Linked DNA regions of Chlamydomonas reinhardtii. The protein of the gene in region 1 interacts with the protein of each later gene in a pairwise test. Links are inferred from orthologs where the notes say so. Each region holds a gene or a part of one and is shown on either strand. Other genes may lie near its edges.

Evidence for each region.
Region 2: the proteins of CHLRE_12g484350v5 (region 1) and CHLRE_10g457500v5 interact in binary tests that used the Arabidopsis thaliana proteins (3 or more experiments, as listed by UniProt). The link is inferred for Chlamydomonas reinhardtii from reciprocal best matches to the Arabidopsis thaliana genes SNF4 and AKINBETA1.

Annotation. Positions count from the first base shown.
Region 1 is NC_057015.1:138,907-147,114, forward strand, and holds the start of CHLRE_12g484350v5 (uncharacterized protein), read right to left. Parts: upstream 4,511-8,208; 5' UTR 4,282-4,510; coding exon 4,231-4,281; intron 4,132-4,230; coding exon 4,028-4,131; intron 3,936-4,027; coding exon 3,798-3,935; intron 3,551-3,797; coding exon 3,040-3,550; intron 2,638-3,039; coding exon 2,503-2,637; intron 2,010-2,502; coding exon 1,770-2,009; intron 1,467-1,769; coding exon 1,395-1,466; intron 1-1,394. Other genes in the region: CHLRE_12g484375v5 (uncharacterized protein), read left to right, coding at 7,076-7,261; CHLRE_12g484400v5 (uncharacterized protein), read left to right, coding at 7,251-7,452, 7,577-7,661, 8,023-8,176.
Region 2 is NC_057013.1:5,295,585-5,302,736, reverse strand, and holds CHLRE_10g457500v5 (uncharacterized protein), read right to left. Parts: upstream 3,474-7,152; 5' UTR 3,222-3,473; coding exon 3,219-3,221; intron 2,839-3,218; coding exon 2,604-2,838; intron 2,348-2,603; coding exon 2,223-2,347; intron 2,005-2,222; coding exon 1,844-2,004; intron 1,705-1,843; coding exon 1,536-1,704; intron 1,356-1,535; coding exon 1,233-1,355; 3' UTR 601-1,232; downstream 1-600. Other genes in the region: CHLRE_10g457450v5 (uncharacterized protein), read left to right, coding at 3,862-4,163, 4,330-4,425, 4,555-4,678, 4,852-4,944, 5,308-5,511, 5,641-6,003. UniProt on the Arabidopsis thaliana protein: Regulatory subunit of the probable trimeric SNF1-related protein kinase (SnRK) complex, which may play a role in a signal transduction cascade regulating gene expression and carbohydrate metabolism in higher plants.

The DNA.
Region 1 (8,208 bases):
TGGTAAGACCGGCGGCTCACCGCAGCAGGTATGCGAGGTAACTTCAGGTAACATCCGTAAACCGTCGCTTTGCTGCATCGCATACACAGTCTTTGCGCAACGTTTTCCTTGTGCTCTTTGACACACACAAACACACACGCGCGCGCGCGCACGCGCGCACACACACGTGAGCCTTCGCTCTTGTTCGTGACACTCCCCTGCTGCCGCCCTGTGCTCTGTTGTTTTTTATTCGCTCGCAGGTGAGCATTTTATCGAGGATAAGGCGGGAGCTTGGGCTTAGCGGCCAGGAGTAGCGACGCGGAGCTAGGAATCGTAGGAGTGCCTGAGCCTCACGGTACCGTGAGCACATGCATGGGGTGCACCCTTGAGAGCGTGTGGACACTAATCCCTCCTCGAGGTTATGGTAGCGGAGGGTTGCGCAATTTCCGGTTTTGGTAAGCCCGGTGGCGGCTCAGCAACGGGTATACGCGGATACTTCAAGTAACATCTGTATGCCGTCGCGTTGCTGCATCGCATACACTGTCTTGCGCTTTTGTTTTTTCTGTTGCTTTTCAACACACACACACACACGCATACACGGGGGGCTTTGGTTTCCTTTTTTAACACACACACACACACACACACACACACACACACACACACACACACACACACACACACACACACAGGAGCGGGAGGCCAGCTCCCGCCAGCCCATGGCGTCACACGCACACACACCAGCCTGTGTCTGACACTTGCGCACACATGCGGGATACGGGTTATGCGCGGGTTCGGGGGTGACGGGCACACGCCCTTTTCTGCCAGCCGAGTCAGCCCGACCCAGCGTCTCTGCAACCGCCGCCCGCCATGCGCCCCATGCAGTCGGGCGCTATTTGCAGCCGCGCGGCCCCAGACTCGTTCCCTTTCACGGGCATAGTCAGTGGGTGGGCTTTGGGATGCGTGTTAGGACATTAGATAGCTTGCTTGCTGCACGCCGCCCTCTTCCGCCGCTGCCATTTCACATGTCCGTGACACTTCTGTGCTGCCGCCCAATGCCTTTCCATTCCCATGCTTATAGGTGAGCTCGACTACGACCAGCGGGCGGGAATACGGGAATTACGCGTGCTGGGTAAACGTTGTTTAGCGCGCCCAGGGTGCGGAGCATGGGCGCATACAGGTGCATCGCGGGGTCAGGCCGAATGGTCGCCCGTGGGGTTACAGGCTTATCGCGGGTAAGTATGACTACCTGGGTGACGGCAACCACGCGACGCTCGGTAAATTGGTAGGTATCCGTAAGTAACTCCGGCGTCGTCTGGGCGGGCTTTCGTTTCGTTTTTTAACACACACACACACCACACACACACACACACACACACACACACATACACACACGCGGCTATGGCCCTGGTGCGCACCTCCGGTCCTCCCGGGTCGCCGCTGAGCACTGGCGCCATGGAGCACTTGTGTTGCGCCAGGCGAGCCACCACCTGCGGCAGTAGCAGCCATACAGGCAGCAGCAGCAGCAGGTAAGGGCGGCGAGCTGACGCATAACAAGCGGCGAGGCGCGCGGCGCCAAGCGGGGGCTGGGGCACAGGGACGTCGCTGGTCGCCCGCTACACGCGTCCCACCCCCCTGTGCCAGCTCCCTGCTCCCAGCCGGCGCCCGAGGCCAACCCAGCACCCCCAGCGCCGGCCCTTCAGCACATGCACCCGTTGCGCCCCTGCCTCCCTCCGCCCTCTCCAACCTTCCATCATGAGCGCCCGGCCACCTCTACCCCCCTCCCCGCCCACCTTGGCTAGGTCCTCATCTGCCAGCACGTACACCAGGCCCTTGGGCTCGCGGCCCTCCGCCGCCGCCTCCTCGCGCAGCCCCCGGATGGTGTGCGCGTCCATCTCCGCCTCGCTGAGCGGGTTGGCTCCCGCGCTGACGCTGTGTCGCAGTCGGCGCAGTATGGTGATGAAATCGGAGGCGCTGATGACGCCGGGGATGGAGCGAGTGGTAGTGTCCCATAGTGGGGCCGAGGCAGTGCCCTGTGCACAACACAACACCACCACCACCACGACAAAATGCAACGGGCAGGCGCTGCTGTGGATGCAGTTGCATGTGCTGGGGGCGTGGCGGGTGTTGATGCGGTCCCTGCCCCTTCCGTGTCTTCTGGCTCCCCGGCCCCCAGCCTGCGACCAGGGCGGTCCGGCCTGGCCTTGTCTTCTATGCCAGTACACACACGGCCCTGAGATGCCGCCACACCCGGCATACCCCGACGTCGTGGTACTGCCTACAGAGGCACCTACAAGGCCGCCCGTCACACACCCAGCACTCCGACCTACTCCTACTCCCCCTCCTCGCTCTTTTGCCTTGGCTTCGGTTTAGTTTGGGCTGGTATCTAAAACCCCCCACCGCTCCCCCCTGCCCACGCCTTTGATGCACTGGAGATTCCTGGAATGCCTCGTACTTTCGGTTCCCACGGCATTGATGCCAACCGCTGCGCCCCTGCGCCCCTAAACGCCTTCAGGCCGCTCGCACCTGCTCGTGCAGCGCGTGGAAAGCCTGGCGTACGGGCAGGTCCACGTCCAGCACCACCACCTTGCCGCTCTCCGGGATGAGCTCATAAGCGGTGTGGCTGTGCAGGAAGTCCGCAATCTTCTTGCGAGTGTATTCCTGCACAAAGGGCAGATGGCGCACCGGTAGACCCAGCCAGCCAGTCTGTACCTATCATATCTCCGTCTAGCCGGCGCGCCCCCCTTTGCCGCCTCTCGCCCGACCCCCATTCCCTACCCTCGCAACCCCTATCCGGCAGTGCGGGTTTGCAGGCACCGACAGCAGTCAGGGCGGTGAGCTCAGCGCCGGTGCCACCACCCGGAGCTCCCCACGCCGCCACACAACAGCACGCGGGCCGGCATGGGCCCCAGGAGCCCCCGCCCCGGCCCCACAAAGCGTCCCATCCACATCACCCTTCCGTAGCAGCAGGCTACACCCGCCCGCTCTGCCTGCCGGCCACTGCCAGCCGCCCCACTGCCCCACCTCCCCACCACCCCTCTGCTCGCGCGCCGCCTCCCTCACCGGCTCCTTGGGGTTGTGTATCACTATGGGCGGCACCACGGCCGCCTCCGTCCCGCCCATGTCTACGTCGCCCTGCTGTGGCGCAACCTGTGCAGCCACGGGGGGCTGCAGGGACAGGCCCGAGCCGACTGGGACGCCGCCGGGGTGCTGCTGGCTTTGGCCCGGCTGCTGCGACTGCTGCGCCGCCGGGTGCTGCAGCTGCTGCGGCGTGAGGCACGGTCCCAGGCCCACCGCCGTGCTGTGCGGCTGCGGCTGCTGCGGCACGTGCGGGTGCTGGCCGAGTCCGCCCACGCCGATGCCTGTGGCGAGTGTCTGCGCCGGCACGCCCACCTGCAGGCCACCGGACACGCCCGGTGCGGGCGCGAGGGAGGCGCTGGCAAGCGCGGGGTGCAGCTGTTGCAGCTGCTGTGCCGCCGCCTGCTGCTGTGCCGCGGCCGCCTGCTGCTGTGCGACCTGGAGCGCGGCCGCTTGTTGCGCGGCTACGAGCTGCTGCGGGTCGAAGGCTACGTTGCTGCGTGGGGTGAAAGGGGGGGAGGCGAGGCGCCACAGGCAAGGGTTGAATTGGGCGTGTTGCAAAGCGGTTCCTGTGTGTTTGCAAGGCAACATACACCCCCGTCATCCCCCAGCGTGACATGTAATGCTTCTCGCGTCCTTCAAAGGGCATCTGCTTCCCTTGTGCCGAGCTCGGTGCCCAGCGGCAAGAGAATTGCGGGCATGTGGCGCGCAATTCCCGCTCGAGTCCCTCAACCCGGCCTCACTTTGCTAGGGGTGTTGGAGAAGGATCTATTCTCCGGACAAAGAGCCAGTTGTTGACGTTGCCAAGCGGGTCTGGCATAAACGGGGCGGTCTCGTCGTGCCGCCACCTGCCGTCTACAATGAACTTATACTGATGATACCTGCAAGTCATGGCAGCCAATCGTCTCATTCCTGGCCATGCAAGACACCCGGCTTGGCCAGCCTACGAGGGACAGCGTTCCGACATGCTCACCCGGGAGGCAGGTGCACGACTACTGCAAACAACCCAGGAGAGCCGTCCACGGGTGCCATCGGTACAGTCTCGACCCAGCGGGTGAAGGAACCACATAGGTGGACCTGCATGCGGGACAAAACGACCGGGTCTCCGTCCGTGCCGGCGTCACAGCTTGCGTCCCGCCCGCGCAGAGCCCGCGACCGCCGAGGCCTTGTGCTCACCTGACGTCCTCCGAATCGCCATACAAATCGGGTCGGCACAAAATAACTCATTTACGTTTTAGAGCCTCTGAGCCTTCTCTGCAGCCTGTCTCCGCTCCGCACGACTCATACTGGCTGCTCCCTTAACAACCAAGGAATGAGAACATTCTTGAAGTACAGCTCAAGCTAAAATGCAGTCCTTGCCCAAAGGGCCTCTGTGCCCCTGCCTTGCCTCCCAAGAGCTGGACTTCGCGGCCAGCGGTCAGTTATAGAAATTATGTGTCACCATGAAGCAAGTTTGATGTTTAGTATGCGCATTGGTAAATAGGGAGGACTGCCCAGCATTGCTCTGACTCTGAGCATTGCTGACTAGGCCAACAATGCAGTTGTAGGCGAGCTGCTATGCCAAGCGCAGGTTTATTGAGACGGAGTTCCAACAGAACTGTAAGCTACAGTGTACATTTGGCTAGCGCACCATGGGCAGGGGTGTGGTATGGGTGGGAGTGGCCAACGGACTGCGCTTGGCGCCCGAAACAGTTCCGGTGACGCTTCGCCGACTTGAGCGGCCAAGCTTCCCTATCAACAAGCAACATCCTGCCGCAGCATATGTGGGGCACTCGCCAGACTGTGGTTCGCGGACACGGTTCGCAGCAGGCCGGAAATGTCCACCAGGACTAATGGCTCTCGTACTGTCGGACACCACCCGCGTCAGCCGGCGGTGCATACGTGCCAGCCGACTCAGACGCCCAGTTGCTCCCATACACCCACCCCGCGCCGGTGATTACAGCTTTACCGTTTACCGGGTCGCGCGCTACGGTATGTCACAACGGAGTGTCCGCTGGCTGGCCGGCGCAAGCCGGCAGGCTGGCAGGCTGGGAGAACCTGGCTGCGCAGCTGACCCCGATTACGCGGAGGCGCTGTCTTGCCCCGTGCCCACTTGAGGAGCACGAGCATGAGCTTTTACATGGGTTAGAGTCCATGTGGCCCCGCCTGCCGCTACAGTGCCCAAGCCCGCCCGATTACCTGCGGTGATGTACAAGGACTCGCTCATGCACCTGCAGTTCTCCTTGCCGCGCGACGGTTTCCTTACGGGATCGGTTAACCCCCACTAACTCCTTTTGAGTCCGGAGGCGCAACACGGTAGTTGCAGGTGCTTATCAATCCCTGGTAATGGCCAGTCCTAAGCGATCCTACGTTTCCGGGCACGTGATGCGCGCTCCTCCTTTCCATGGGGCCATGTGAGGCGCATACAGCCATTTTGGCCATAAGGGACACGGGCTTTACATGTCCACGGCCTTTCATCTTCTCCTGGTCTCAGAGTTAGAGGGTGCGATGGGACATGGTAAGGGGCAGGGTGGAGTAGTCCCGCACTGTGCAACATATTCCCACCGTATTGGGAGTTAGATACTTAGCGGGGCCCTCGGGCCCCTCCACGTCCAGGCGCCGCGGAGTCGGACATACAGGTGTTTGACTACCTGCAAGTACCCGCAAGTACCGTAATTACAACAGTTACGCCGCAAGTTACGCAACCCGGGTACGCAGGCGATGCTGCACAGGGCCCTGGCAACCAGCCCCTTGCCAGGTCGGCAGCTATTGCAGCTAGTGCGTGCACTTGTATGCATTTGCTGTACTAGGTTGTAGGCTGTGGCGTGATTAGGCCGCTTTGTCGACGAGCGGCCTTTTTTTTGCGGCTGGAAGCTGCAGGTAATTAGACAGGTAGGGGGAAGCGGAGCGGGAGGGGCGGGAGGGAAGGAGGGAGCAGGTGGCAGTCGAGAGAGCCAGGCTGCCAGGGAAGATACAAGATGGGGGCGGGGCTAGTGGACGGAGGAGAAGATCTGAGAAGGTAAAGGGTAACAGGGGGCGGAAATCATGCCGTCCGGCCCAGGTCCGTGATGTGAGGAGCTACAGACAATCTGTTCAGCGCTAGCCCTCGTACTCCCGTTGGTGTAGGACAGGTACATTTTTGCATCGTATGGAACGCGTCGAGTGCAAGAGGGGCTCGGCGGATGGCGGATGCCCGGCTGAACAGTGACAGTCCGCGGGCGAGGGCGGCCTGTAACACTTGTGCATTAGCAGAAGCGCTCATAAGAGCGCTCAAAAGAGAGGATAGTCAGGTCAGGCACCAGGGCACAAATGCGCTCGGTGTTGCGGTTAGGTGGCAGCAAACTCATGTCCACAGGCGCTGTTAGTCAAGGTTGCGTCTGCCATGCTGTCACGGTCCTGACACGTTATCGACACGATGGCACCGATACCTTAGGAACTGAAAACCGCAGCACATCCGTATCACACCGTGTAAGACGTGGGCAAGGTTGTAGCTCCTGCAAGTGTGGTCTGTGAACTGTACGACACGGCGTGTCAACCGCAATTTTGCCCCATTATCCCCTACCCTCACGGACCCCCCCCCGCGGCGGCTACCTGCCCCAATACGGCAATACGCCAGGTATGGGTAATATGAAGCACTGGCGCGCTGGGGAGGGAATGACTGGAGGCATAGCCCCTACCCTCCGCAGGTTGCGGGCCTTGTTGGGGGCCTGCAGGCCTGCCCAGAAGGGCATATGCCGATGCCGCAGCGTCTTATCCTCCCAATATGAACTTAGAGCATCAAAAGCAACTCTTAAGTGGGCTCTGGCCTGGAAATTGCTGAGGAACACGTGGGCGACATTTCCACACATTTTGCCCTCGCTTTCGCGCTAGGAATGTCCGCTTGCTTTCCAGTCAGCACCTAGAGCCTACACATACTATACATAGCTGACGGTATCGGTCCTGGGTCAAGAATAGAATGGCCTTGCGACAGACATGCGGCAGTGCCGAGCAAGCGATTTTTGGGCCCAACGACCTAAAACTCTGTCTTAAGCTATGAAGTATCATGTCGTCTATCGATTGGCTACTTGGCTTCACGTGCGTACTGGTGTTGGTGTGGAGCGTGTCAGGAGCGTGCCCTCGTACCCCATTCGGGACACGCATGCCCGTCGACAACGCCCCCGAGCGGTTCCAGACGTACAAGCAAGTCCCAACAATGACTACTTCGTTCAGTACCAATCATGTACAATGACTTATTGTTTGGGGCAGCCTTCGTGGGGGCGCTGGTGGTCGCGTGGGCGGCAAGGATGCCATTACCAGTCTGTCCGGATGTATCGTCAACAATTGTCGACCCGCTTTTCACGACTAACGAGAAGCCACAGCTGTTTTACAACTGGCCAGATGTATACGCGCGAACTCTGGAGCTGCCCTTCTTCACACCCGGTAAGTGGATGCATGGCACGATCGCTGGCGTAGCTGGCGGCGCGCTCGGTCCCGAATGTTTCTCAGCGGCCTTGATGCTTGAAATCGGAAATACTGCTCCGCGATCCGGGGTCCTGCAACGCAGTGGCACTCCGCATCAACCTTTCCCCGAGTCATAAGCTAGCGCAGGGCGCAGCGACGATGAATTTTATGCTGCGAAGCAACACAAGGTGCGCCGAGTACCGTCGGGGGGAGGCGGGGAGAAAGGACAGGTAGGGGCTGGAGGGCTGGTAGTGCGCTTGCCCGTTGCGGACACGTCGTCGAGTGCAGTTTCAACGGGTTTCTCGCTGGGTTTCTTGCTCGCTGCTCCAGCCTCTTCGTGTTTTATATTTCAAGGGTTGTGCCTTCAGTTCTTTTTAGTACTCCCTCCAGCCCAAGCCCTGAGCGCAAGCCCTCGTAACTTTCCTCGCCCCCATCCCCCTGGCCCGTCTCACGGTCTCTGCCCCTGCCCCGAAGTAAGACCCCCAACCTGCGCCTGCCACCTCTTAAACTTCCTGCCCTCCGCCCTGCTCTTGTCCCCCCCGCCACCAGTGACTTTGCTGTTCTGGAGCAGCACATCTGCAGGTGTGACTTCTGCGGCCTGGGCCGACAGCTGCCCCTGGAGCGGCACTCGGTGCTCAGCGTGTTGGACCTGGGCGGCAACTGCGGACTGGCCGCCAATGTGCTGGCGGCTGTGTACCCCAACGTGCGGTGGGGGGGCCTAATGGGGGAGAGAGG
Region 2 (7,152 bases), on another chromosome or scaffold:
AGAAGGCGGCATGCCGCTCCAGCCCCATTGCGACCTCAGGCAGGGCTGCATTTGTCCAAATGCCACGAGACCTTACAACAATAGAATGCCTGAGACCTTCCTCGGTGATGAACTGTCAGGTACAAAACGTTATCGCCTCATCGGAATGGGCGCGCGCGGAACTGTCCAGGTGCGGTTAGGAACAGGGGAGGGACAGGCGAACACGAAAACCCCAAACCACAAGTCTCCGTCCTCCCTGTTCACAACATACACCGACGTGCCCACCCAACGCCCCAATGCCGTGCTGATTTCGTCCGATGCGGGGATATCGCGCCACCCGCGCGCTTCCATCGGGGGCGGAGGCGACGCCTGCTGCGGCAAGCTGCCGCCGCCACCAGTAATGACGCCGCTGGCATCGTAGGCAGCAGATACTCTAGCAGCGGCCCCCTGGCCGCAGCGGCGCCTGCTGCTTGAGGTCGGCGGGTCAAGCTGTCACGTGCGCCACTAGCGCCTTGTTTTGCGGCTGCGGCTGCTTCCACTTATCCTCGTCCGCTCATTGCAAGTTTGCCACTGGCGTTCCCGTCATCAGATGACGCGCCTGACGGCGCGTGTTTACGGAAGGAGTAGAATGGTTTTGCAAATAGCAGAACCCGGCACATGTGTGCCGCCGCCGCTGCCGCACATTGCGGTCACTGGCGAGCCCAAGCCCAGCGTGTGCCCCACAAGTGTCCGGCTTATGCGGGCCAAGGGATGACATGTTACTGCCGCCGTCTGCCGCTGCCCGGTCAGCCAAGGGTCATCGCACCCAACGGGAAACAAAAGCCGTACCAAACCACGTAAGGACTCAACTCCATCTGTGCCTCCATCGTACCGTAAAACACCCCGATGGCCACGGATTTGCCAGGATGGTATGCCAATCAAACGGTCGTGAGAGTATGTGGAGACCGCCAAAGGCACCGAGTTTGCATCATTGCTGTACAAGAATGCACCTGTAGCATTATCCATCCTTGTCCCACCAATACCATCACCCACTCAGCGCGTATGCATGCAATCCTATGAGTGTGTTCCGCGCACGCACTCAATGTAACCCCCAGCACCAGACACCAGTCAAGACAAAGGCCATAGCACCTGCACGCAACAACCCGCTGTAGCGCCCAGACGACACAAATGTCCTGAGCGTGACCCAAAGCAGGGCTCAAGCCCGTTGTCCGCTTCTTCCCACTAGCTAGGGGCGTGCGGGGCGTACGGGTCCGCTACTGGTCGGTCTTGATGCTTCCGTCCAGTACGCGCCGCCGTGCCTTGGGTTTGTACATGACAGTGGTGATGTACTTGGACTTGTACCGGCTGGTTGTGCCCACCACCAGCGCCTGCACGCTCTGCAGGAGCAGCAGACACACCGCGTCCGATAACCATACATCAGCACAAGGGGATCCAATTCCAAGTTAGCGAGAGGCGCCGGCGTGATATCCATGCAATCGTGGTATCCACGCCCCAACCCGAACGCCGTTATGTCGGGGTTTCCGTTTTGTGTGGAGCGACGCATCCCTTTGCCTCACCTGCCCCCGTTGGCAGTACACGTGATTGAGGATGACGTGCTGCGGGCGCGGCAGCACCGCCTGGGCATCCAGAGCCGGCGGCACGTTGAGCAGCGTGAGTTGCAGATGTGGCGGCATCACGGGCGGCTCCTTGGCATAGTCGTCTGCCACCGGCGTCGGGCAGTTGTAACTGCAGGGCAGCGGGGAGGGCGGGAAGGAGTGCATGGGAAGGTGGGTACTGGCAGGACAGGGCCGGAAAAACCAGCGCAGACGAAGCCTACTACTCCATGCCAAGTACAGTCCACGCCACGCCATTCCACCTCACACACCTGGACGGCGGCGAGGGCGGCGGGTCAAAGCCGCTGACTCCCTCCAGGTTCTCAGGAACGTACTCGTGCACCTCGATAACGTTGTTCACGTTGCGCATCTCGTCAAACATGGCAGGCTGGTTGGGGTCGTACTTCCACTCGCCGTCCACAATGAACTTGTACTGCGGGGCGGCAAAGTTGGGAAGCAGGAAGAAATTACAGCTCGGACACTACATGCGGTGCAGCACACAGTGCGCGCCTTCTGTGCGCGCGGTAGCCCACCGACCGCGTTACTCGCTGCCCTGCACGTGTTCATGCCTCCTAGATAGAGGACATGCCGGGTGCCAGTTCCAGGTGGCCGCGCCCAGTCGTGCCGCCAAGCCACATTGCCACGCCACACCTGGTACACGCCCGGTGGGAGCAGCTTGATGATGGTGAAGTCCTTTCCGGACTTTTGTAGCGGTTGTCGCGTCGTCCAGTTGTCAAACGAGCCCTCCACCTCCACGTGGCTCCCACCGTGGCTCCCTGCGCGTGTCACAATTGTACACAGGAGACGGTGTCGGCCCCTGCCCCTTGCTCTCCATACGCAGAGACACGTGTCAAGCAAAAACATGTGCACGTCCCCACTCTCTACATGCAAAGACTCGACAAGCCTGCTGCAATATCAACTCAACACAGAGTTTAATTGATTACACTAGGCGCATACGGTAATTAAGCAGGCGTCTGAGGCAGTACACCATCGTTTGCACGGCCCCGCGTGAACACGACCCATGCTACTTACACACGATGACCACTGGCATCAGCTTTGGCTGCGCTGGCCACCCTGCCACCCCGTGAAATTCAGGTGCGTTGCGGTTGGCGGCTGTCAGCTCATCAGCGCGCGCGATCGGCTCCATGGGTATTTGCGGGCTGTAGGTCAACGGCGAGCCGGGGCTAAGCGGCGGCGACGCGTGCCGCGCATAGTGTTCGTGCTCCGTGCCCCCCGGAGTCTCGTGCTTGTGGGATGTGGTGTTTCCCTGATATGGCACATTTGGAATAGGGAAGATGGGTGAGACGGCAACGGGATCGGGCTCTATGCATTGAGACGCAATGAAGGCGCCTACAACTTGCGAGCTGCCCAAGTCTAGCATCCGCAGCCGGCTTCAGAGGGCGTGTCCGAAAGTGCCCCGCTACTGCGCCCTCCGCACGGCCTGCAACAACCATATGGCCTCACGTAGCACACAGTACGCATGCATTCAAGTTGCTGATAGTCCTGCCAGTCAGGAGCAGCTGCGGGGCGGCACCGACCCGACCTGCGACCCGACCAGAACGGCTTGCGTGCCAGCTGACTGTGCCGGGGCTCTCCAAATCAAGCGCCAGCGCTGCGACGGGCTGCTGAATATACATGCAGGCTCACCATGTCTTATGTCTGCAGCCCCGAAGGGCGTCGGCTGCGTTCCCAACGTCGGAATAGCCGGTCGAGCCGGCCCAAGCCAGCCAGGCTTCGAATGCTCTCCACAATTCGCTACACTAATAAGTCAGCACAGTAGGATAATACAGCAATGACGATAATTCCAGGCGGTGCGCTTAAAGCAGCTTGAGTTGTGCCGACGTGGACACGGGCGCTCTTCGGGGCCCCCGCAGGATAAAAGGTGTTAAGAGGTATGATGGGATATTGCAGTGTTTCGGTGTTGGGTCTTGGTTCAGGCTCGGCCTTCCATCGACAAGTCTCGGCTCAATGGGGCAAGTTTCTCCTGCTTTTGGTAGAGTTACACTCGTCTACAATTCCTTAAGGCCAATAAAAATTGCCAGAAGACTCCCTTGGTCCAATCGTTGGATTGTTCCACAACAACTTTGCAACCCTTGCAAACCCGACTCCACCCAGTGACACGCTGGGTCTGCAATTTTCCTACTTTATTGCAGTGAAGCGCAAGGAAGCGCACAGCAACTCACTGCAGCAGCGACTCGGTGACACGCGGGCAAATGATGTAGGACCTCAGTTTCGCCATAAATTGTATTTTCGACGAAGTAGAACCTAGCTTTTAATGCCACCGGAGAGTATGACCGTAGCTGGGCCTGCTGCTGACGTTACTGGCGCCAGGGACCATGGCCTGGATGGTCCCCAGTGCGCGCCAAGCTCGACGAGCGGCTCAGTGGCACCGGCGCCGTTCGTCTTGACTGTACCCGCGGACTCCTCTTCATCGTGTGCCTCGGCAGCGGCCTCTGCAAGCTCTGGAAGCGAGCTTTCGGGGTGCTCGCCCACAGCACCAAGGCTCGGCACGGGCGCTGCCTGCGGGGAGGCCGGGCCGCACCAGGCCCTTGTACACCACCACGTCCCACACTGCAAGCAGTTCTTCAGCTGGTGAGAGTGGTCTGGCCGGCGTCACAGGGGTAGGAGTGGCCTCCAAAGCAACAAATACTGGCAGGACATATGCTGCGCGGCGCGCGCTTATGTACCTCCTAAGGATTTGACCGGGGAGAGGTCGCGGCCCTATGCTTCACGACTCCAACCTTACCTGCACTTGCAGGGACTGTGGTCTAGCGTGCGTTCAGATGGTCATACAAGCAGCCGGCTTCTCGCACTGTGACTATCGATTACTGCGGCAGCTGTGCACCACCACCAGGTGCGAAGGCCACGAGCTGCCAGCATGGGCGACTGGGCTGCGGCCCCGGGACCGGTGTGTTTTGGCAGATTATGCCACACGTGTATCAATTGCCGTAGGCTTACAATGATTGTTGCAACTGCCATGCAGCATCTGGACGGTAGATCTTGCGCACTTGCTACGGCGGTTTGGGTTGCACGTGTCCTTCTACACGGTCACGCTCGGGCCAAACCCCGCGTACGCCAACGAGTCATTCTACATGGAGAACATGGAGGTAAGCAGTATGCGTACCCGGACAATGTCTTTTTTGCACGTGACTGGAGTGCGGCAGATTTAGTCTGCCTGCCCAGTTTGCTGGGCGCGCGTGCTACGGTTTCAAGCCGTCTTCTCCGCCGCCTCCGCTGAATTTCTCTGACGTTGGCCTATCTCCCCTGCTGTGCACAACAGGACGACGAGCGGCGCGTGAGCCAGTTGTTCGTGGAGGCGGCGCACGTGGGCATCGCCGTGGAGCAGCGCTCGGTCAGCAGCGAGGAGCTGCAGGTGTGCCCTAATGGAGCCGGAGTTGGGCTGGGCTGGGCAGGTTAAGATTGGGCTGAGCTAGGCTTGGGCTGAGCAAGGATTGGGATGGTATGGGCGGTGCTAGATTGGGTTGGGCGGGGCGGGGGCGGGGGCGCGGGCGGGGATGGGGGCGGGCGTGCAGGCGGAGGTTGGGGCGGGGGCGGGGCTGGCGCCGGGGCTGGGGTTGGCGCGGGGGCTGGGCAAGAGTCTGCAGGGCAACCGGACCCCCGCTGCGGCGGCGGCGGCCCTCCAGCTAATTATGTACGTATCCGTTGGCAAAGCATAGTTTGGTAGTTGCCGCAACATGACGCCCAATTCTGACGGGTGTACCTTTGCCGTGCGCAGTCGTGGATGCTGTCGGGCGGCTGCCTTATCATCGTGCTGGTGGACAAGCGCAAGCTGGACCCGTGGCTGGGGGCAGGCGAGCCAGGGAGCGGCGGCATGGGCGGCATGTCCATGTCCATGTGCCTGCCGGCGGTGCTGTGCGGCATGGAGCTGGGCTACGCGGGCCACTACGTGCTGCTTGTGGGCTTCGACGCGGGCACACAGGTACGGTGCCGGGTCTGGCACCGCGGCGTGCATGCGTGGGGTGCACATTTCTATGCACGCCGGGCGTGTTCCAAATCGTGGAGCACATCCACTTTGCTCTGAGACTCCCAACATGACGTTTGCATGCAGGAGTACACCATACGCGACCCGGCAGCGCAAGTGCAGACCCTGCGGGTGACTGCGGCGGCGCTGGACGCGGCGCGGCGGTCGTTTGGGACAGACGAGGACATCCTGGTCGTGAGCACCACACCCAGCGACAGCTGCGGAAGCAGTAGCAAAAGTAGCAGCAGCAGCGCCTACAGCGGCGTGCCTCAAGCCGCTAGCGCCTGCCCGGTCCCCAGTGGGCTGCAGCAGCTGCTGCTGCCGCACACGCACAGCAGCTGCCACCCCCAGCAACAGGAGCTGCTGATGCCGCTCGGAGTCCACCACTGCAACAGCCGCACCACAGCCACCACCATCACCACCACACCCACGCGATGCCGCGACCAGTAGGAACGCAGCAGAGCGCCGCAGGGCTGCACGCAGGGTAGAAAGCTGCGATAAGGTATTGGTGTTCGTGCAGATCGCTAGCAGGTTTCTCGCAGTTTTGATTGACCACATGGTCTGGCGTGATGTTACGTTTGTCGCCTGCTGTCACAGCTAGTGCTGCTCGTGACTGCATGTATTGACATAGCTTGCCTCAGCAGGTGCAGCAAGCAAGGGTGTGGTACCGATTGCACGATAAAGGTTGCAGAGTCTTAGGCGCGCCGCGCGGTGATGATGCTTCGTTTGCACCAGCGTTTGGGGCATCTGCGTGCTTCTTAAACGGGTTTATACGGAAATGCTACGACGCTACGTAGTGTCCTGAGTGCTTACCGCCCGGACCATCCGCTGGCGAATATTCAATGATTGCTGTCTTTCAGCGGCAGGGTGCGTTGTATGGCGTGTCCGTGGCGTCCTGGTGTGACAGGGCATTTTTGAGTTTTGAGAGCCTCCAAGGTGACAAGCAGAGAACGCCAATTGTACTGGTACGAGTGTTGACGTCAAATGTGGTACTTTTGATGTGCTGGTGAGGGGTAGATGCACGGCGAGTGGGCAAGGCCGCGAGGGCAGAAGAGTGCAACGTAGGCTATTGGCCTGGGCCAGGTACGCTTCCGGCATGTGTTGGCCCACGCAAGGGTTCCCTTGGGCCCACGCGCACTGCCATCTCTCACATGGCATCAGGAACGCAGGACGCGCATTGCTACCTGCGCGTAGTAGCTACCCGCATGTTTGCCCTACCTGCACGTGTCCATGAACTCCGTGTGTGCGCGTGAATGTGCCAGGACGCTTCGGCGCCTTGCAAGAGCACGACAAGACTGACCACGCTTCACTGCCCATGGAATGTGGGACATCTGTGCAACTTCGAACACGTGTTGGATTGTTGGCTGAGTGCGAGAGACACGCCGCGTGTCAAGCTAGTAGGTATGGCATGACAAGCGGAGCCTTGCTCCTGCGTGCCGGTGTACTTGATGATACTGTACTAGTAACTTACCCAAACGCCCGGCTGGCCTCGAGTCTCTTTGGCCGGAGCCTACAATACGGAGGGTGGCATTGTGTAGGCGACGCTATGGCACGCTGTGCAGGCCTGGTGGGCGTGTGGCACGAAGGCATGAATGATCC